4 linked regions of the Drosophila melanogaster genome follow. The protein of the gene in region 3 interacts with the protein of the main gene of each other region in a pairwise test. Each region holds a gene or a part of one and is shown on either strand. Other genes may lie near its edges.

The links.
Region 1: the proteins of CG14881 (region 3) and mgr interact in a two-hybrid assay, tested with the Drosophila melanogaster proteins (one large-scale study listed by BioGRID).
Region 2: the proteins of CG14881 (region 3) and CG4998 interact in a two-hybrid assay, tested with the Drosophila melanogaster proteins (one large-scale study listed by BioGRID).
Region 4: the proteins of CG14881 (region 3) and SMSr interact in a two-hybrid assay, tested with the Drosophila melanogaster proteins (one large-scale study listed by BioGRID).

What each region holds. Positions count from the first base shown.
Region 1 is NT_033777.3:11,408,291-11,411,616, forward strand, and holds mgr (merry-go-round), read right to left. Parts: upstream 1,586-3,326; 5' UTR 1,479-1,585; coding exon 1,392-1,478; intron 1,315-1,391; coding exon 920-1,314; intron 859-919; coding exon 756-858; 3' UTR 502-755; downstream 1-501. Other genes in the region: mRpL40 (mitochondrial ribosomal protein L40), read left to right, coding at 1-36, 96-414; Irbp (inverted repeat-binding protein), read left to right, coding at 1,848-2,520, 2,766-3,326. UniProt on the Drosophila melanogaster protein: Binds specifically to cytosolic chaperonin (c-CPN) and transfers target proteins to it. Binds to nascent polypeptide chain and promotes folding in an environment in which there are many competing pathways for nonnative proteins.
Region 2 is NT_037436.4:16,337,447-16,345,019, reverse strand, and holds the start of CG4998 (uncharacterized protein), read right to left. Parts: upstream 6,018-7,573; 5' UTR 5,872-6,017; intron 4,585-5,871; 5' UTR 4,577-4,584; coding exon 2,804-4,576; intron 2,416-2,803; coding exon 1,534-2,415; intron 1,227-1,533; coding exon 928-1,226; intron 863-927; coding exon 259-862; 3' UTR 1-258.
Region 3 is NT_033777.3:16,433,175-16,436,576, forward strand, and holds CG14881 (uncharacterized protein), read left to right. Parts: upstream 1-1,724; 5' UTR 1,725-1,790; coding exon 1,791-1,899; intron 1,900-1,959; coding exon 1,960-2,127; intron 2,128-2,181; coding exon 2,182-2,393; coding exon of another isoform or gene 2,394-2,481; coding exon 2,482-2,853; 3' UTR 2,854-2,892; downstream 2,893-3,402. Other genes in the region: Fntb (farnesyl transferase beta subunit), read left to right, coding at 1-7, 64-320, 383-1,054, 1,111-1,342; mRpS33 (mitochondrial ribosomal protein S33), read right to left, coding at 2,903-3,124, 3,187-3,306.
Region 4 is NT_037436.4:7,375,453-7,383,085, forward strand, and holds the start of SMSr (sphingomyelin synthase related), read right to left. Parts: upstream 6,023-7,633; 5' UTR 5,779-6,022; coding exon 5,169-5,778; intron 457-5,168; coding exon 1-456. Other genes in the region: smid (smallminded), read left to right, coding at 6,503-6,559, 6,759-6,882, 6,935-7,279, 7,333-7,383, 7,442-7,633.

The sequences.
Region 1 (3,326 bases), 5.0 Mb from region 3:
ACTGGAGGTTCCACTGGAGCTCATCGACGAAAAGGAGTAGGTTCTCATACGGGTTTCCCTCATATGCTGAGATGTAATGCTATCCTATCGTTCAGCAAACGGCAGCGGAAGCTAGCTCCACTGACCATCGACCAGTTGGAGGAACGTGCTCTCCTCAAGAAGCAGTGGGCGCACTACAAGCACGACGAGCGCGTAGCAGACTTTCAGATCATCGACCGGCTGGTCCAGGCGCAAAACAAGGCGCTGGCGGAACTTCGGCGCGAGTCCGAGGAGCTCTACCAGGCGGCCATCGATATCGATCCCCAGCTGCTGCCCGTCGCCGTCAAAGGACCCGTTGCCACGCCCCCCATTAAGGATTACGTCAGTCCCGATGGCGACTACCTGCACCAATCCATGAAGTGGGAGGTCAAATGAGGCGTGTAAGTTCCGGATGTTAAAGATTTGAAATAAACTGAACCCTAATCCTATGATTTGTGAATTCGGCTTTACTCTCAATGAATTGCGTTCGCCGTTTATTCGGTTTACATGCAGTTAAATGCCCGTAGCCAAATTAAAATATTACATTCCTCCGGAATAGGCATCTCGTTTGGAGTCAGCTTGATGCGTTTGTGTGGCGGTTTTATTGCTATCAGTGGAGAACAAGAATAAGCCAGGTGGAATCGCCTGCCGAGCCCTTGCGGTGTACTGTCGAAATAAATAAGATGCGAGTGGCTGCTACCGATGTTGATCTTGGGATGGGATTTGGGTGGGTCTCCTTAGGATGGGGTAGTGGCGGTGGTCTTGGTAGCGGCCTGCCGCTTTTTCACGCCCCAGTTGTAGACCCGCGCCATGTTCACCTCCGTAGTTGTGATTTGATCCCTAAAATATACATTTATAATACAATAAAACAAGTAACTTGAATAACAGCACTCGAACTGACCTCAGAAAATCCTGATCGTGCTCCACGGACTTTAGGTTGCCCACGGCCGATGTGATGTTCTGGTTCAGCAGAGCCTCCGCCTCGTCTAGCGGATACTCCAGCATCACGCTGGCCCCCAGCCAGAGGTATACTGTTTTCGTGGGCGGCACCAGTGTCTTGATGAACACCTGGTCGCTGAGCAGGAATTGCGTCTCGCGCTCCTCGTCCTCCTTGCGAAGCACATTGACCATTTCCAGGGAGCGCTCCAGGTCCGGAATTTGAGACTTCAACTTGCGCCGCCGCGCCTCCAGATTGCAGGCCATGAATCGATACTTGCCGTGCTGCTCGTCCAGTCGCTGCAGCACCTTTTCGCAATTTTCGTTCTCCGGCTGCGACATGAAGGTGTCGATCTCCTCCTGCAAGGGCCCAAGAACCACGAATTAGCCTGCAGTGTCCAGCTGCAGGTGCACGCTTGTAGGTTAGGACCACTCACCAGGAACACTGCCTCCGGGATGCCGGCGAAGGTCTTCTGGTTTTCCGGTAATTTGGGCATTTCCACCGAGTCCATTATTCCTGTCATCCTGTTGCCTTCAGCCGTGCCGTCTACAAATGCAATTTAATTTTCAGGAGGTCAGCCTGCCGCTGTAAAAGTCGATGAGTCAAAATTGCGATGGAACAATCGATTGAATGGCTGTCATCGAAAGGTGGTGGTCAACTTCGTATAAAAATGTAAAACTAACTTATATTAAAATAATTATATAAATAAACGTTGGGATAATATAATATGTTAAAAACATTAAATAATGTCTAAATAAATTTAAATATATATCAATTCTCTTCGTGACTCTCATCCCTAGCTCAATCGATAACAACAGCGACGATAAGCGCGCCCGCCTTCTTGTGAAATTAGCGGAAAGTCAGATTTTTAGCAATCTAAAGAAGCCGCATAATGAGCACCTGGAATCCGGAGAACGATGTGGACCTGCTGTCTGGGTCCGAGGACGAGGAGGATGTGTCCATGAAGCGGGACTACCATGGGCGCGAGGCCATTCTGTTCGTGGTAGACGCCAATCTTCAGACAGCCGGCGTGGAGCGCCTGTTGGAGGCACTGAACATCATCCGGACGGCCTTTATATCCGGACTTCTGGTTAACGACAAGGACCTCATCGGACTCATCTTCGCCAACACCAAGCACAGTCCGCCGCCGCTGGAAGCCAGTGCATTGGACAACATCGTAATGCCGGATAACTGCGCAGTGTTCTTGCCCCTTCGCCAACTAACCAAACCCATTGTGGAGCACTATCTGGAATTCATGGGCGGGGTGGAGACGCAGTTCGCCGATGTGTATGGCCTGGCGGAACCCGATGGTCGCGGCAGGTTTGACCTTATGATCCGGCTCTGCATCGAGATGCTGGAAAAGTGCGGCAAGAAGCTAAACAACGCCAAGATCGCCTATGTCACGGACGTCAGGGAACCTCATCCATCGAACAGCAATCACTTCCAGGCTGCCCTGCAAAAGGCCAGCGATCTGGAGGGCAAGGAGTTCGAGTTTCATGTCATTCCCATGGTCGATGACTTTGACTACGAGCCGTTTTACAAGGAGTTCATCACGTTGTCAAGAGGTAAGTCCTTTAAGTCTGCTATTCATTTCTTATGGGTTTTAATGTGCGAAGTCTGTTCCCCTGTTTGGCGTTCAATTTTCGCCTGAAAGGTTTTAAGACTTCGTAGATCAAATATAAGCAATCATTCACCCGCATCCAAGTGAAGCTCAATTGGTTCGTGGTTTTGGATTGGCTTACAAGAATAATAAAATAAATATATAGCAATCCGTACACTAGATGATGTTTAATGAGGACCTTTTTTGCAGCTATCGAACTGGACGCCTTCCAGGTGCCAGATGCCCAGATGCTGCGCGAAATCCTGTCCGATCGTAAGTTGAAGCAGGATTTCCTTCGCCGATGCCTGGGCCACTTCAGTTTTTATCTGGGCCCCAACCTATCCATGTCCGTACAGTACTACAATTACTTTCAGCGACGCGCCTATCCGCGCAAAGTGCAAATCCTGCGCAGGGACAACAGTGTGGTGCGTACTAAGCGAGTGATTACGGTGCAAAAACAAAAGGACGATGGCTCGCAGGATATCGAGCACGAGTATCAGATTAAGGTGACGGGCGGTTGGTACACTTGCAACGTGGGCGAAAGGGATCTGCGCATCAGCATGGATCAGTTGAACAGGGTGCGCAATCTGCACAAGCCGCAAATGATGCTGCTGGGCTTCAAGCATCGATCCTCTCTTCCCGAAGTTAGCTACATCAAGCCAGCGAATTTCATGTACCCCGATGATCAGAGCATCATCGGATCGAAGCGCTTGTTCCGCGCATTGTGGGAACGATGCTTGGTGCGCGACAAGATTGCCATTTGCCTGTTCA
Region 2 (7,573 bases), on a different chromosome or scaffold from region 3:
AAGGGAAGTGAATCATATATATAACAAAATATAACAGGTATTCAAGGAGACATCCGTAATAACTAAGAGTGATAAATACGATGACGAATGCCACTATCGAAACGATTCGGTCGGTAGTTGGAATGCGAGAGTGTTGAAAGATGGCTTCGGTCAGAAGTGGAAAACGAACTCATCGGAGGAGGTGTCAACCGGAACGGATCCGGTGATATTCGCATGGTAGCCAGTCACCTCCTCCTTGTCAGTCTGCTGATCCGTTAATCATTGATAGCTCTGGGTGATCTGTTGGATCCAGGGCAGGTAGGCGGAGACCTTAACGTAGACGCCGGGAACGTTCACCTGACCACATCCAATGCCCCAGGACACCACTCCGACCACGTGCATGGCTCCATTCCGGTCGCACACCAATGGGCCACCGCCATCACCCTTGCAGGCATCCTTGCCCTCCTCTCCGCCGGCGCACACAAATCCGGGATTCAGTTTGTAGCTATAGCCCAGACGCGTGTTCCTCAGCTGGGACTCGCACTGTTGGTGCGATAGGATTGGCACATCCACCTCCTTCAGAATGTTCTGGTACTTTCCGTGCTCGCCGAAGGCATCCTTGCCCCATCCAGTTGTCCAGCAACGAGCTCCAGTGAAATCGGAATACTTGTCGGGCAGACAGGCGGGACTAATGTGCGGATTCTTGGTGAAGTCAACGGGTTGATCCAGTTTCAGAACGGCCAGATCATTGTCCAGAGTGCCGGCATAGTACTCGGGATGGATGTGCACGGAAACCACATCGCGTTCAATGTAGGGGAAGAACTCCACATCGTGGTTGACATCCCATTCGCCCAGACGCACACGAAGATCGAAGCCATTTTGACTGGATAGAAAGAAGCAATTGGTTAATGCTCTGGTGAAATATACTTTTATGACTCTAGAACTTACGATTTAATGCAATGGGCAGCGGAAATGATGTGCTGGGCATCGATGAGCGTGCCACCGCAGGCGTAGATCGACTCCTTGGGATCCTTCTTCAGAATGGCCACATGCCAGGGATACTCGCCGAACTCACTGTCTCCATCAACGTAGACGGGATTCTTGATGCGACCGGTGATTCCAGCGGCGTTCCTCACTCCACAACGACCAAATTGCTGGGGAGGAGCCTGGGGACGCAGTGGACGACGGCAGCAGACTTCGTTGATGCGGCAGGTCTTTTCCACGGGTCGGTTTCCATAATAGGCACGCTGGAAAATATCAAGGAAGGCAATCGCAATTAGATAAATGTTGGAGGAATGGGTACAATCTTATCTGGATTTGAAATGTACTTTGAATGCCATATAACTTTTCCTAATTACCATCAATGATTTAATCAATAAACAATTAAGAATATTTATAAAATGTGGGGTTCTTTGACTCTTAAAAAGTTTTACAAAATAGTTACATAATTTGGGACTGAACTTCTCATGAAATTTTTCAATTTTGTAGTTATGGACTTTAGTACTCTATTGACGCTTTCGAATGAACTTTAATGCTTTAGCCACACATGGTTACCTGCTCCTTAGGAGCTGCTCCCGCCCACACACCATCCTCAACGCTCCTGCGCCTGCGATCCCGTGGGAAAGTGATCCGATCACTGCCAGCTGCCTCACCAGGAGCCGGAGTGGGAATGTTGTAGAGGGGTCCCAGGTTCAACTGTTTGCCACGACGACCGGAATTCGATGGCCTGTCTGTATCACCACCGCTCACATTGGCACTTCGCTCCACATGCTGTGAGTACTCGCCATAGCCCCCGAAATCGGGACTGGATCCGGGATATATAGAGTTGAAGGAGCTCTCGTAGGGAGACGATTCGTGGTGGTGATGATACTGAACAGAAGGCCCACTGTGATACTCAAATATGGGAGTACTTGGGACCATTTCCACACTGAAATGGAGACCCGGTCCAGTTCCTCCATAGAAATGCGGATACGAGTGGTGGTCATGGTGATCGTGGTGGTCATGGTGATCGTAATCGTGGTGCTCATAGCCACTATAATGATCGTGATGGTGGTAATGTGTACTATACGCTTCGGTGGGCTTCCGCTTAAAGAAGTCTCCCACTTTCTGAATGAGATTCGCATTGGGAGTGACATGCAGATTGACCAGTGGCTTCACCACCTTCTCGCCATATTCTGTTTTGGCCACCTGCACCGATACCAGAGGATTCACATTCACCAGACCCAGATTCAGACCATTTGGACCCACCGAACCGAAGTACGGGTTTTGAGCGGGCACATGATCACCCAGAATATTCGAGGGATAACCTCCATACCCGCCAGTGGGATAGGGCAAACCAAAGCTGACACCGTAGGTGGGCAGCACTTTGCGTTGGATCAGCTCGATGGCCTGGAGAGCGGGCAATGCCAATGGAGATCCTCCGAGCGGGGACTGTCTCTATTTGTTGGTAAGGGGAAAACATAAGAACGCTAGAGGTGGAGTTCCATTTCTGATTGCCGGTTGCAGGTTGCATGTTTCGGGTTGCAGGCGTGCGATCACAAAGGTCGTGCTTGGTTAGCTGGTTTAGTTCTGGGATTAGTGACTGGTCTAATCGGAACCGATTTGCACTCTGGTATTTTAGTTGAGCTTGGAGCGTTGAACGATGGGTGCAGTTGTCAGATTGGTTTGATTTGTTGATTGACTGATTGATTTGTTGTTTGATTTGAATGTGTGTGTGTGTGGGAGGGAGGAGCTTGGCTAAAACTCGATTAGTGGTCCATGTGAACCATGTGTGATTTGGCATTAGTTGGGCACTACTTAAACTAATAGACTTCTATGGACTTACCCCTTGAGCATCGAGTGAGAGATCGCTTGCTTCGTCATCCTTTTGATCAGCCTGGCGGCGGGTGCGCTTCTTGTCATCCTTGTCCGCCTTCTCCTCGTCCTTCTTAGCCTCAGCAGTAGTGGTAGCATTGCTGGATAGAGCATCGTCACTCAGAGCCTCAATGTCCTTGCCCAGGTTGCGGGGATCAATAGGCAGAATGAGATCCTCCTTGCGTCCAATGCGATCGGCAGCGGGACACTGGGAGATGGGCACACACTGGCAGTCGACGATCTGCTGGCGCGAGGTGTCATATCCACTCTGGTACTGACCCTGACCCTGGTAACCACCAGAGATGCCATTGTACTGATTGGATGCTCCACCTTGCAGCTCCTTCTTGTAGTAGTCGGGATTCTGGCTGTGATAACTGGAGCTGGGCGATCCACTGAATCCTCCAGAGGAACTGCTGCCAAAGTTTCCTAGTCCTGAGTTGGGCTTGTAGAGATCTCCAGAGTTTGGTTTGTACAGATCTCCAGTGGGTTTCTGGGAGATTCCAAAACCGTTCTGCGAAAGAAGTCCACCCTGAGAAGCACCATTAAAGCCAGCATTGAAGGCATTGGACTGGGAGTAACTGGATCCGGAAGAAGTCTGAATGGAGGGAGTGTATGTGGCAGATGATTGGGCCAGGGCACTGAAGTCGGTGTTAATGGTCTGGCCAGCTCCGATGGGAATTGGCACACTGGGAACCTTTGCTCCCTCGCCACCTTCAACATGGTGATAATGATGATGCACATGTTGCTGCAGACCATCGAGCGGTGCTCCAACCACCACTTTGGTGCTGGAGGATGTGGCCGAGGCGGAAGAAGCTGAAGACTGCTGCGAGTAGAAACCATTGGGAGCAGAGCTTGCACCCTGGATGCCACCCTCGGGGTTCTCGTAGTTGTATGGAGGAACTCCATTCGAAGCACCAGTAAAAACGGGTCCAGCTCCCAGAGAAGGACCTCCGGTGTAGATGGGTCCTGGTGGCTTGCTGTCATAGATCAGGGCTCCGGGTGGTGGCTTCGTGTAGGTGATACCGTCGGATGAACCGTCAATGGCGGATGGTGGAGGATGCTCCAGGTAGCCACCGGGTCCAGATGGCCTGTAAGGTCCAGACATTGGCTTGTATGGTCCCTCGTATCCCACCTTCCTTGGCGGTCCAAAGGAGTTCACGGAGCTGGGCGGAGGTCCAAAGGAGTTCAGGGAGCTTGGCGGAGGTCCGTAAGATCCAGGAGGTCCACCCATTGGTGGACGACCACTGAAGTAGCTTGGTGGGGGCATGGGCTTAGCCGGACCATAGGGACCACCGCTGAAACCAGATGGTGGTGGGGGACCCTGGGCATAGATGGTCGAGTAGAAGGGACGCTTCTCCTCCACATCGCAGCTCATCAGTCCCAATCCACACAGCTTATCCCGGATAAGATTGCGGGCCTGCATATCGTTTCCCTGCTGCAGAGCCTGATCGATATTGCCATCAGCATAGACGGCATCGTATTCCCCCAGATTACGACCCTCACGGCGGGAGTTGATCAGCTGCTCGATGACCTCGTCAATCTGGGTGGTGCTGTTGCTCTGGATGGACTCGTGGACGAGGTAACGTCCCTGAATGTCAGCTTGTTCGGCGGGCTTGGTATCGACAGATCGGCGACTGGGCATGGCATCCTCCATGGGCGCCCACTCATTTCCCCAGTTGGATTCCTCGGCCAAGGAGGCGGTGGCCAGCAGTACAACTGCCAAAAGGCTAGTTCTTATTCTCATTGTGAAGCCTGTGAAATGATTAGATAGAAAAACTTTAGGATACCAATTCTCTAATATCTACGGATATATTAATCAAGTGATTGATTGACCATCTTTGTCGCCTTTTCTTTTGAGTGGAAAATAAATTAAGAGGTTTAGTCATGATTGGTTATGACATAAGTGGCGAGCTTGACACCATTACCCCAAGTCATTGTGCCAGTTTACATTTCTCCACCTAGCCACCGATCCCTCATACCATCTTTGGCTTAACCAATCCGTAACAAAACCGAATCCGAAGCCCAAACCGGTTAGCATCACGAAATCTTCACCGTGACTCAGACTCTCGTATAAGACTTTTACTTTCATTGGAGGTCGCAGACCGTAGCACTTAATTGCCTGATTTTGTACGTTACTTTTGCTCGAAATGCGAGTCGGGATGGCGAGGGGATCGCTGGCTTCAGGTCCCCGTAATTTATGAGGTAATTTTCCTACAGATTTAGCAAGCCTACGACTGCAATCCCACCGAAGACCATCGCTCAACTTGATCTCTCGCCCTGACAGCCGCTTTCCGCTTCGTGTCTCTTTTATTTGGTAAAATTCACTTTTCTTTTCAGCCTTTATTTTTATGGTCGTTTGCATTGCAGTTATGTCACCGGCTCACAGCGAGGGCGGATTTTGTAAAAGATCGGCTACACTTAACAAAAAAATCAATTATGAATGTAATATTGGTTTAAGGAGTAACTAATAGGATAGCCAGAATTATAATTTTGCCACTCGGAATTATATGCTTAAGTAAGAAGATATATTTATATTTTAAATGATTATGTAAACAGATCTGATTCATCTAGAGCGGCATTACACACTACAATTTCGAGTTATATTTTATTTTTTATGATTTTTTTCAAGTATATATTTTCCAGTTATGTAAATGTATCTTTGGATTTCTTTAGGCCTGCTTTTTCGGCCGGAAGTTGTGCGCAGCGTTGCATTGCAAATTGCCGGCAACTTTTTCGCTTGGATTTTCTTTGGCGAGAAGTGCTCGTAAGCGATGCTAACTGCCGTTTGGTTGGGTTTGGGAAATTTTTTTAGGTTTTTCCTTTGTGTTCGCAGTGAAAGTTTCGCTTGTTCGATTGGCTTAATGACGCGGAGGCTCTTGGCCAAGAGTTTTTATTAAGTGTATGTATGTAGGCATATTTGCAACAACCATAATTTCATGTGCTGCAGACTCATAATTCACATCTAATAGCCATTCATTTAAATTAGTTCGCTTTCGGTTCACTTGAGTTCACTTTGCTAATTTCGCTCACTTCACTCACCTTTTTTGTGTCAAGTTTATTAATCCAATTGGTTAGTTATCACTGTTGTCCGGATAATCCTTATGCAATTTACTGAGTCTCTTATCCTTTCACTTCATTCACTTTCTGCACCGATTGTGCTCTTCGATGCTCTGCAGATCGTTCACTGATTTCGCTTTCGTTGGCCGCGCACATTTTATACAAAAGCTGTGCATGCGCGCCGTCGACGTCAAGCTCCAACGTTTCGCTGTCTCTGTCTGCATTGATTCCGTCTTCTTCTAGCTTTCATACCGCCTTAGTTTGCGAATCGGTAGCCCAAAACAAAAGATACAAAAGCGGCGACGGCGACAATGTTTGGCAACCCCTCTTTTTCGCTGTTAGTGTTGATTTTTCGTCTGGGTTTTTTCCTCAAATCCCCAATTCTGCCCAACTACTGGAGGTCAGTAAACGAGGCGGAAATAGGCGGAAATATCACTATGATAGCTTCATTATCAGTAAGAAACCCAGAAACTATCATCACATTCAACACATCTCTTAAACATAACTGACTGTCTTAAACATCCAAATGGGGCTTTGTTTTTTTTTTTATGATTTTACCAAATTTTAAATAACCAAATTTAGCTTCCCGGAAAGGCGTTGCTTGAGAAACCGGGATTATGCAATTCTGCAATTATGAATTGGGTCAGAGAGTAGCAACCGCTGAATAATAAAAACATCGTGAAAAAGGGTAAAATTGGGCATTGCCTCAAACCGGATCTTTTGGCATACATTCATCTTTCCCCATTTTTTTTTTACTTCATACATCTGCCTCTCTTTTTGGTTGCAGTTCAGTTCAAATCGCCTGGTTTTTAACCCATGGTCAATGCAAACGTCATCGCTCGGTCACTCGTTTCATTTTCGTTTATTTTAACGTTTTTTTTATTTAACCTAGCTCACTGTGAGTAAAAAGCGCTTGGCGGAATTACCCGAAGTTCATAAAAATTAGAGACATTCCCCCCAAACTTATTCACGATGATCACGTTCGCGTGCCACTACCTTAAATCCCAATCATTATCAGGTTTGCGTTTGTGTTGTGTATGGTCAGTGCTGCCCGGCCGGAGTGAGTCTCATTGTGATTCAGTGGCTCCAGTGGCTTCCACTTGTGTTACTGACCTTGGTTCGATGTGCTGCAGTCGTTCATCTAGCCCCCACCTAAGTGGCGTTTTATGTTAAGCATTCCAAGAAAGTTGATAATGACCAACAGAGCTTCGAAAATTATGCTAATCACATTGATTTTTCTCGGGAGTTGTTATTGTCGCCACTCTGGGCTGTTTGCCAAACACCTTTTGGCTATTTGCTCGCGATTAATTCACGAAGTTTTTATCAATCAGCGTAGCGTGTGGCGTAGTTTTTGACCATCGGGTTTTTTATGACTCATACTATCGAGCACTTTGGGCTTTTCGAAGGAGGTGCGACGAACCTTATTTTGCATCGTTTTTAATTCCGTTTGGCTTACCTTTTTTTGGGGGTACATCAATAAGATGGAAATCGATTTTAATACATTGTTAATATAATATCTATAAAGGGTTTTCCGAATGTAAATATCAAACTTATTTAAATGTACGTTTCAGTAACTAATACATCTATTTTCGTTTGTTATACTCTGGTCTGAAAACTAGCATACATGATTAATAACTCATTAGGTCTTAAAAGCTTCATATCTTATTTAAATATAAATATTTAG
Region 3 (3,402 bases):
CGAGCAAGTGAGTAATCCCCGAATGTCGCCCAGGAAAAGATAAGAGCCGATGAATACTTGCAGCAAAAGACGGAGAGTTCGGTGGAGAAATGCTTCGACCGCTTCGAGCAGATAATGTTCACCGACCCGCGCCTCACCCAGATCTTCCGGCTGGAGCACCAGTACTACCTGGACGCGATGCTGAGGCGGCTGCCGTCCAATTACGAGTGCCTGGACAGCAGTCGCGCGTGGTGCGTTTACTGGATCCTGCAGGCGGCCCAGCTACTTAGCTTTAACTTCGACGACCAGACATTGAACCACGTGGTCCAGTTTCTAAGCAAGTGCGTCTTTGAAGGATATTTCTCTAATAGGCATCCTTAATGCTCCAATCACTCTTTCATAGCTGCCGTTCGCCGACTGGGGGTTTTGGAGGAGGACCTGGACAGTATGCCCATCTGGCGCCCACCTATGCAGCAGTGAACAGTCTGTGCATCATCGGAAGCGAGCAGGCGTACCGTGCCATAGACCGACCGACTTTGGTCCAGTTCCTGTTCAGTGTACGTGACTCAGACGGCTCCTTCCGGCTCCACGTGGATGGTGAGACGGATGTGCGTGGCGCCTACTGCGCAATCTCCTGCGCAAAGCTGCTAAATCTTCCCGAGCCAGTGATCAAGGAGCTATTTGCCGGCACTGGCGACTGGATAGCCCAGTGTCAGACATACGAGGGAGGATTTGGAGGAGCCCCTGGTCTGGAGGCCCATGGTGGCTACACCTTCTGCGGAATCGCGGGCCTGGCGCTGCTCAACGAGGCTGATAAGTGCGACAGGCAGGCTTTGCTCAAATGGACACTGCGCCGTCAGATGACCTACGAAGGCGGCTTCCAAGGGAGGACCAACAAACTGGTTGATGGCTGCTACTCCTTCTGGGTGGGAGCCACCATTCCCATTACGCAGGCAACGCTATCCGGCGTCGATAAGCAAATGGAGCACACCCTTTTCGATGTGGAGGCCCTGCAGGAGTACATCCTGCTCTGCTGCCAAAAGCAGAGCGGCGGGCTTATCGACAAACCCGGAAAGTAAGGGATTAATGCCAACATTGTGATGTTTTTTAATGTAAAACCCATATTTTCAGACCGCAGGATCTCTACCACACATGCTATACTCTTAGTGGCGTTTCCATTGCCCAGCACTCGGAGTGCGCCAGCAGCCCCCAGGTCCTGGGCGACACCATTAACGAGCTACTGCCTACCCACCCACTGTTCAACATCCCACCAAAGTCAGTTGCAGCTGCCAGGAGCCACTTCAGCAATTCCAATGACACAGAGTTCTTGGGGAAAGACAGTCCCAGCAAGGAGGAGAGTTAAGGCTTCAGGTCAGGAGGAGGAGCCTGCGTAATGAGGACGTTTTGCTGGTGGTTTACCTTTAAAGAACTAAACTTGGTTTAATAAATTAATCTTTGAAATATTGTATTTTTCGCTTCTTGTATAAATGTACTTATTGGAAAAGGAATTGATTAAAATGTTTAACGTTTTCTAAAAAATATTTATGTCATATATTATTTCGAAATAAAATTATTATGTTTTCAAATAAATTCATGTGTGATTTTGTACAACAACCCAATTGCTCATTATAAAAAAAAATGAGATGAAACAAATAACTTTTATAAATGTGGCTTTGAATCCGAAAGCTATTATTTTGCCCCCAATGTATTTCAGCACGTTTATATGTGAATGGTAAAACATGAATAGTTTGCGTTGTGAATGGCATTTTGGGACTGATTTCAAATCGCAGCTTTGCCTTCGCATCCTTTTTATGTTCTCCAGCCACAGGACATTGAAGAGGAGGACGCCTGCCCAGGGCATTGACCGCCGGGAGTACATTGGTCACCTGGTCGATGAGTATTATACGACAACCAACATCGGTAAGGTTTTTATTCACGTCATTTTGCCGGTGTGAATTCATTTTTGATTTTCATTATTAGAGGCCCAGCAGCAGGTGACTGCTAATTTGGCCAATTTTGCATACGATCCCATCAACTGGTCGCATCTCCTGGAGGCGGACGCCTTGGATGTATTTGTGGCATCGCTGGAGACACAGGATCAGCTATTAAAAGTGCACGGAATTGCGGCATTGTGTAACCTTTGCCTGGGTAAGCAAACATTTGATTTTCAAACCAACCTTGTTCATCATATTCTTATTGCAGACAAAACGGCTGCCAAATTTATCAGAGAGCAGCTAAAACTGCTAACCGGCCTCTTTGTGCGCACTGATCACCCGGAAATAGTACTTCACAGCCTGGCGCTCTTTTACCAATTACTGGAATTTGGTGAACGGACTGAACGGGATTTACTTCTGAGCCCTGCGGTGCTAAGGACGGTGCAAGAGTGGCGGGTCAAGGCCCACGATGAACGCATCGTTAAACTTTGTCAGTTGCTGCTGCAAGATTTCGCAACACGCACAGAGGTTGTCCAGCTGCAAAAGGCTTCCCCAAACGTTCCGACAGCTGAGCAGCAAAGCAGTGAAGCAGGTGCAAGTGGTTAAGCGGTTTTCCCAAAGCGATTTGGAGCAGTTTGCCCAGTTCACCGGCGACCACAACTACATCCATAGTCTGGAAACGCCCACCGAGGAGCGCCGCGTCCATGGAGCCCTGCTCAACGCGGTGGTGGCTGGTATAATGGGTACCCAGCTCCCTGGTCCGGGCACCGTGGTTCTAGAGCAGAATTTCAAGTTTCTGAAACCCTGTCGTATTGAGACCGACACCGTGGTGACCGTACGTCTGCTACAATCTCGCAAGATTTCCACCGTGGAGTACGATATAAGGCAGAACGACGAGGTGGTGTTCGCCGGCAGCGCCAAGTTGCTGACTCGCAACTAAAAAGACTAGCTTTGGTTCAATAAAAGTGGATGTTAGAATATTTATTTTACTACTTCTTTGAGGCCCGCTTGCCCTCGCCCTTCTTGGGAGGCGCCTTGCCGCGCAGCTTGCGCAGACGCTTCATCTCCTCCTTGAAGTCCTGGTGCTCATCGCGGAACAGTCCGTAGTCGCGAAGGTTCTTCATCAGCAAGTGCGTCTCCACGTGCCGCGGATACCAGTTGATCACGTAGTCCCGTTTGTGAATTGGTTCCTCCGAGAACATGCGAACCACCTGGGGAAGGTCGGATAAAACATGTTTACATTTTAATTAATAAATTTATTTCGAGAACATACCTTCATGGACTTCTCGTTTGTGGTGCGAGCCACTTCGCCGAAAATGCGATTTGAGAGGTAGTTCATCCGGCGAGCATACTGCGTGCCGACCTTAATCAGCTCCGTGTACTTGTGGGACATAGTTAATATTAGTTTGCTATGCTTTTCATGAAATAATTTAAGTTAAGTTTCTAAGTTTTAGTAAATTGCGGTTATGTCACGAAACAAAAACAAGCG
Region 4 (7,633 bases), on a different chromosome or scaffold from region 3:
TAAACATATAATCGCCGCAGGTCCGCACTCCCTGAATGGACATGCCCAGGCCGCTCCAGATGCGATAGGCTCGTGACATGCGGATAATCAAGGCGCCCACCATGTCCACATTGGGATCATCGATGGCAAAGTCCTTCTGGCTGCACTGCAGATGCGTTCCCGGTACGCTCAGCGACGTGATCAACATGGTGACGCAGCGCAGCAGGAAAACCGTGCCCGCCAGAGCAAAGAATCGCCTCAGTAGGACCAATCTATACTTGTGGAAGGTTAGCACGACCACCCAAATGGTGAACAATAGTGAGCCGGTTATTTCGCACATATTAAAGGCCCACGGAATATGCGGCACGTTGTCCAGGAAGATGTCCGGCAGCGGCGGATAGCGCTTCATATCCGGAACCCGCTCGTGCACAATAACCATTGTTAACGATGTTATCCAGGTGACAACGAACGAGTAGCCTGTTGATGGTACAAAAAATATGATGTTACCATGCGGATTTAGAGTGTGACTAATTTGGCTCAGCAGGCGGAAAAAAAATAGTTATGGAATCGGTCATTTGCAACCATAATCTATAAACTCTCTATATATAATTTCTAAAAACGTTTGTATTTCAAATTGATCTCAAGATGTCGAATTTATGAAGTTGAATCACAATGATGACTAAACTTGAGATATCAGAGCAAATAAACGTATGTACTTTATTCTGATAGTCATCTTTGTTTGTATAATAATTTAGTATATAATGCGGAAACCTTTTAACAAAGAAAAGGAAACCATTTTATTTTCGTATTATTATTGGTAGTGTGTTTGACCCCGTTCCGAAAGTGATAAAAGTGTAATATTTACTACCAAAAGAATTATCTTTCAGCAGCTTTATCTGCCAAAATGTAGACTTATCTATTGAAATGGCCATGACAATAGAAAAACAAGCATAGTCTGTAATGATAAATGCATTATCGAAATAAAAAGCCACTGATAGCAAATTAGCCTAGATAAGCCCATTGTTTCGTTTGAACTTTGATCACTTAAATATTATAACTCAAGTGAAACATTATTTTACAGAACAATCCTTTTTTGAATAATCAGCTAAAACTTGTCAGATAGATAAATAAATACATAACATAATACATAAAATTCAACACTCGATTGGCTACTGTTTTTAGGTTTTCCTTTGCCGTTCAATTTTTTGAAAATTTACCCGTTAAGTAAAACCAGCCGTTTGAAGGGTATCATAAACAAATGGGAATTTGAAATTTAATGCACGCAAAGTTACACAAAAATAACAAAACCAGTTAGCCAGAATGAGAGGCATATGAGTACACAAATAAATGCGAGCGGCGTCTACACAAATAACCTCCGAAGTGCTCAAAATAAATAATAGTAACGCGTCGCCAGTGACCAGTAAACATTATTAAACTTAGAGTGTGACGTATCTCTAGAAGTCATAGCTAATGAACCCATGAACTCGAAGGTAAATTCGTTTACTTTCGTAGAATAGGTAGTAGTACAGAAACTATAAATGGGATTTAATGACGTATGGTCTGATTAAACATTTATAACACGCGTGACATTGAAACCATTATTATTGGCCTATCGCTGAGGTAGTGATTGGATTGAGTGATATACTCTAGAATTAGATTTACTAATTAAAGCAATGTTTCTCACATGGAAAGCGTTTATTTCTGGTTACAGAATTTTAGAATTATTAATGCTGGCAGACATGACAAGAACTAAATGTTTAATGTTTAAAAAGATCAAAGTGTGATATGTATGATATTTTTTCGTAGCTTGTTGGGATTATTAAGGCAAATGATAGCAAAAGTCTGATAAAATGGAGCAGAGGTTTATATAATATATTATTTCCTTTGAAAGTTAACTGCCATATGCCAGAGCTTCTTATCTAGATATGCATATGTATATAGTGACGTATTTGGGTGGTCCAAACCAGCCACTTCCATTATTTCAAAGAAATCAGTAATGCACTCTAGTAATTTTCCATAACGTATCCCAGCTGCGCAGCATTCGTTTATCTTTGGCAGCGCAGCCGTTCTTGTAAACATCCTAAAGCCTGACCTAAGCAGATTTGACTGCCCTCTTTCAACGCTACCTAATCTTAAGAACCCAAGAGCGAGGCTCTCCCGAAATACAAATATTGTTCAAATACTGAGGCTTCTCCTCAATCCAATTTGCATTTGATTTTTAGTCTTAAGCTGAGATCCAAAGAATAAAGTCGTGAAACTATTTCTCCTAAAAACTATTTTTTATTTCTTGGCGTTGTCCTTAGTCAACTGACGGGACATTAGTTCGACTCATAAATAAAACAACAATTTTACTGGCGCAGTCGGTAGGATACAAAAGTATCCGAAAAAAAGAACCTTCGAGTGGAAAATAAGTTAAATTTTATAGTCCAGTGCTCGAAACATCTCCCAAAATAAATTCGTGAAAACTCTTCAACTTGGATTATAATTCCAATTCGGTTATCCAATAATAAGTGGAAGTGAAATACGAAACAAAAATATTAAGTCCAAAGGCAACTAAGTTTTAAAACCAACATATAAAAATAAAAAATTAAAACAATATAGAATTTTAATAATACAACACAAAAATTTACAAAACAAAAAAAAACAAACAAGTGAAACTAGAAAGCTTAAAAATAATAATAACATTGAATCCGAAACAAAACAAAAAAATAAAACACAAAAGTTAAAAATTTTACAATAAAAATGTCACAACCAATTATTGCGCTGAGCGACATAAACCTTGCCGAAGCCCGTCGGCAGCTTAAAGACATTATGCCATTCAAGGGTGATCCAGAAACCCTTCACACCTTTATCAGCAGAGTGGATTACGTAATTTCGCTCTACCAAACAAATGATGTCCGACAACAGAGGATTCTACTGGGAGCCATCGAAAGGAACTTGGACGGACAAATTACACGATCTTTGGGACTTCCGAACATCGAAGATTGGCCTACCCTTAAAGCAAGACTCATCGCGGAATTTAAAATTCAAACACCAAACTACAAACTTCTGGAGAACTTCAGGGAGACACCATACAGAGGAAGCCTAAGAGCATTCTGCGAAGAAGCGGAGAGACGACGTCAATTACTAATTTCGAAACTACACCTGGAAGGCACCTGGTACCCGATAACACTATTGTTTATACTGATCACAGCTGTTCATGGACAACAAATTCAAATTAATAATATTGACACCAACCACGGATATCTCCTTTTTTCTGATAAGCCAGTACAGATACCATCCTCCTTTGAACATCACTCCTTAAAAATCAATTTAACTGAAATAGACATCGTGGTTGACTATTTTGAGCAAAGACTACGAACCGATTACCATGCACCCCAGATCAATTTTTTATACAATAAAATAAAAAGAGAACTAGCCGGAATAACCCTGAAACATAGAAACAAACGGGGTCTTATTAACATTGTGGGTTCAGGTTTTAAATACCTATTTGGAACACTAGATGAAAATGATCGAGTCGAAATACAGAAAAAACTTGAAATCAACGTCCATAACTCAGTAAAATTACATGAACTCAACGACGCCATACGATTGATAAATGACGGAATGCAAAAAAATACAGAATTATGAAAATAACCACACCATCATTGACAGTCTTTTGTTCGAACTAATGCAGTTTACGGAATACATAGAAGATTTGGAAATGGCTATGCAGCTTTCCAGACTTGGACTGTTTAACCCCAAATTACTAAACTACGACAAACTTGAAAATGTGAACAGCCAAAACATTTTGAACATTAAAACATCCACTTGGATTAACTACAATGATAACCAAGTATTAATCATATCCCACATACCCATTTACCTTTCACTAATAAGCACAATTAAAATAATTCCTTACCCAGACTCCAACGGCTATCAGCTAGATTACACAGACACACAATCATATTTTGAAAAAGAAAATAAAGTTTATAATACCGAAAATAAAGAAGTAAAAAATGAATGTGTCACCAATATTATTAAACACTTAAATCCAATTTGTAATTTTAAGCCAGTACACACGAACGAAATAATAAAATACATAGAACCAAACACAATTGTAACCTGGAACTTAACCCAAACAATTCTTAACCAAAATTGCCAAAATTCAATTAATAAAATAAAAATAGAAGGAAACAAAATGATAAGAGTAACGCAATGCAAAATAGAAATCAATAATATAATTTTAAGTGAAAATCTGTTAGAACCAGAAATAGATTTGACACCACTATACACACCACTTAATATAACAAAAATAAAAATTGTAAAACACAACGACATTGTTGAGATGATTTCAGAGAACAATATTACACTTTACATACAAATGATCATTGTAATAATCGCACTAATTTTGTTGTACTCATATTTAAGATATGTATCATTTAAACCATTTATGATGCTGTATGCAAAACTTAAAATAAGAAAAAATCAAAATCAAAACACACCACAACAAACAGAAATAGAAGAAACTCCATTTCCCACACTATATCCATCAATCCCAGCCCAAGTATAGGCTTCTCTTTAAGGGAAGGGGAGTGACGTATTTGGGTGGTCCAAACCAGCCACTTCCATTATTTCAAAGAAATCAGTAATGCACTCTAGTAATTTTCCATAACGTATCCCAGCTGCGCAGCATTCGTTTATCTTTGGCAGCGCAGCCGTTCTTGTAAACATCCTAAAGCCTGACCTAAGCAGATTTGACTGCCCTCTTTCAACGCTACCTAATCTTAAGAACCCAAGAGCGAGGCTCTCCCGAAATACAAATATTGTTCAAATACTGAGGCTTCTCCTCAATCCAATTTGCATTTGATTTTTAGTCTTAAGCTGAGATCCAAAGAATAAAGTCGTGAAACTATTTCTCCTAAAAACTATTTTTTATTTCTTGGCGTTGTCCTTAGTCAACTGACGGGACATTAGTTCGACTCATAAATAAAACAACAATTTTACTATATATATACTACATAATAGTCATACCCATGGGGAAACCTCTTACTTCTCGGCTATCGCAAGGAAAGTATATGCCTGAACTGCGCTATATAGAGAAAAGCGAAAAGCTCTCGAGAATTGGCACACGACCGATAAGCCCGCCGAAGCAATCAATGGACAATTGACCTTCGTAATTGAAGGGGGGCAGGTTGTGGACCACTCACCTAAGCTCATGGCGGTCTTGAAGTATTCCGGCGGAACATAGCGTCCGCCCATGCGCAAATAGGTATCGCAATCGGACACATAGCTGGGGCATTCGGCCTGCGGACAGGGGCACGTGGATGAGGACGGTGGACCGCAGCCGGTGCTGGCTAGTGGCATGTATACCGAGTTCCCGTTCCCATGGCACTCGATGCCCAGTATTACGGATTCCGCAGAGCTGTTCTTCACCAGTAGCTGCAGCTTGAGCACGGCTATCCAGAATTTCTTGAGCTCGCCGAAGGTGAGTTTGTAGCCCAGTTTGTAGCGCATATCACGTACATCCTCCTCGGTGAGGGAGAGCAGCACCTCGCCGTCGATGGCCTCCTGGCGCAGGCAGTCGAGCAGTGTTCTCGAAAAGTGCTCCATGCAGGTGGCCCAACTGGTCACATTCTCGATGGACCACTGGGCCACGAGTAGCGGATCCACGGGCTCTGGATCTGGCGATCCATTGGTCAGGTGCTTATCTGTCGCCGCGTCGAGGTAGTGCGTCCGGGTCTCCTGATCCATTGTGACCAATCCACCGCCCTCGGAACGTGGCTGAGTCACCGGATCGCCAATTTCACCGTCGCACATCGCGCTTTCTTTTTTTTCCGTTCGATGTTCTTCTGGCTGTTTCTTATTCGTTCCAATTTTGCGATTTATCCAAAATCCAAAACAATTGTGCGGCCGAACTCAGATGGAGTGCAACATTTTTTCACTGCTGGCTGCTGTTGCTGCTGCGGCGCATAATTAACACCTCACTTATTGCGCGTCCAGCGTTTGTTGATGTAAAAGCACATTTAATTTTTGGTTTGGTTACTTGTTAAATTCAGACTACTCAGTTGTTCCGTTCAGAGAGCAAGCGAGAGAGCAGAGCGGAGTCAGCAACTATGCTGGGGGCGGGAGCGAGATAACAAGGCCGAACAGCTGACTTCGGCCATCGATAGTTTTTGGACAACGCCAACGCTATCGATGAACAGTTACTTCGGTCTTAACTGCGTGTTCACACCGAAAAATTTTCGAGAATTTCGCTCTCGTAAAAGTCAAAAGGTTTAAAACTCTTATCGTTAGCTTAATATTATTTTAAATAAAACAATTTGAGGTGTCTGGCGAGTAGAAATTATTTAAATATTAACGCTTGACTGATATAAATCTCGTTCGATATATACGAAACCATGGTGAAAATGTGGAAGAGTGGAAACGGCCTCCAAAGCGAAGATATCGAAGCCACAGCTTCGCTTCGTTAGCATTTTGCGAGCGGCAAAGTGATTTAATTGTCCTCGTGCGAATGTCTAGACAGAAGTAATCCTCGAATAATATGAAGAAAGCCAAGCCGCTGCTGCACGACCATCTAATAACGATCCGAGTAAAGAAGGTGTGTCCAAATCCGTTGTTTATATCCACAAACTAGCCAGCTGCCCGATAGCCGGTAAATTCCCATGAAAGCAGCACAAAAAAAAAAAAAAAAACACACAAAAACCCTTTGCAGGGCGGCGATTTTGGGCAAGGGAAAACAAGGTTAGGTCGCAGGCTACCCGCATCGTGTGCTAATTGCGTTCTACTTTCGATTTCAGTATCTGGAGGAGCACATCGGGGAAACCTACCTGGATGTGAAACAGATGACCAGGGAGTTGATGCAAAAGTATCCGGAATATTCACGACGCAAATTCGGACCATTCAGACAGCTGGTGCACCAAGGTAAACATGGAACATTGTGGTTATTTGTTTTTAACAAATATTTCTATTACAGCATTCTCGATCATTTCGGAAAGCTATAACTTGGACAAGGTAAGCAGTTCCGAGGAAGATTGTGTTAGCGAGGACTCCGAGCCACCACCCACGAATAGTGTGATGAACAATATGATGAACAGCCTGTATAGTCAACCAAGAAAGCCGCTGGCGCCCAAGCCAATCAGCGAGCCCATCGATATATCCAGTGGAGACGAGAACGAAGATGACTCCAATACAAAAACCACCAACGGAGATGGGGTAGCTGCTGCTGCTGCTCCTCCTCCTCCTACTCCAGCAGTGCAGGGCAGTGCTTTGAAACGCCTGATGGAGGAAGTGCCGGAGATCGCAGTGGCTGCAAAGAAAGGTGGGTTATCAATCCATTAGTCTATGACTTGGTTAAATGACATTCTTCATTAGTAGCTAAACCGAATACTATTCACGTTAGCAGTTCGGAGGCCATTCAAAAGCGTGAGTTTTTTTTTAAATACTTTTGTAAAATCAATGAAACCTAAACTTTTTGTTTTAGTGCACCAAGTTGTGGGCAACAGAGCGAAAAATCTTTCAGAGGACGCCGTTCCGCGTTCCAAAGATCACCGTAATGTGCCTGGCTTATATCAGCAGTTGCACCAAAACCAAAGTCGCGATCGCCTTCGGAAGTTCAAAAGGGATCTGGAGGTGCAGCACCCAACGGAAAGTTTCCGGGACATTGGTGGCATGG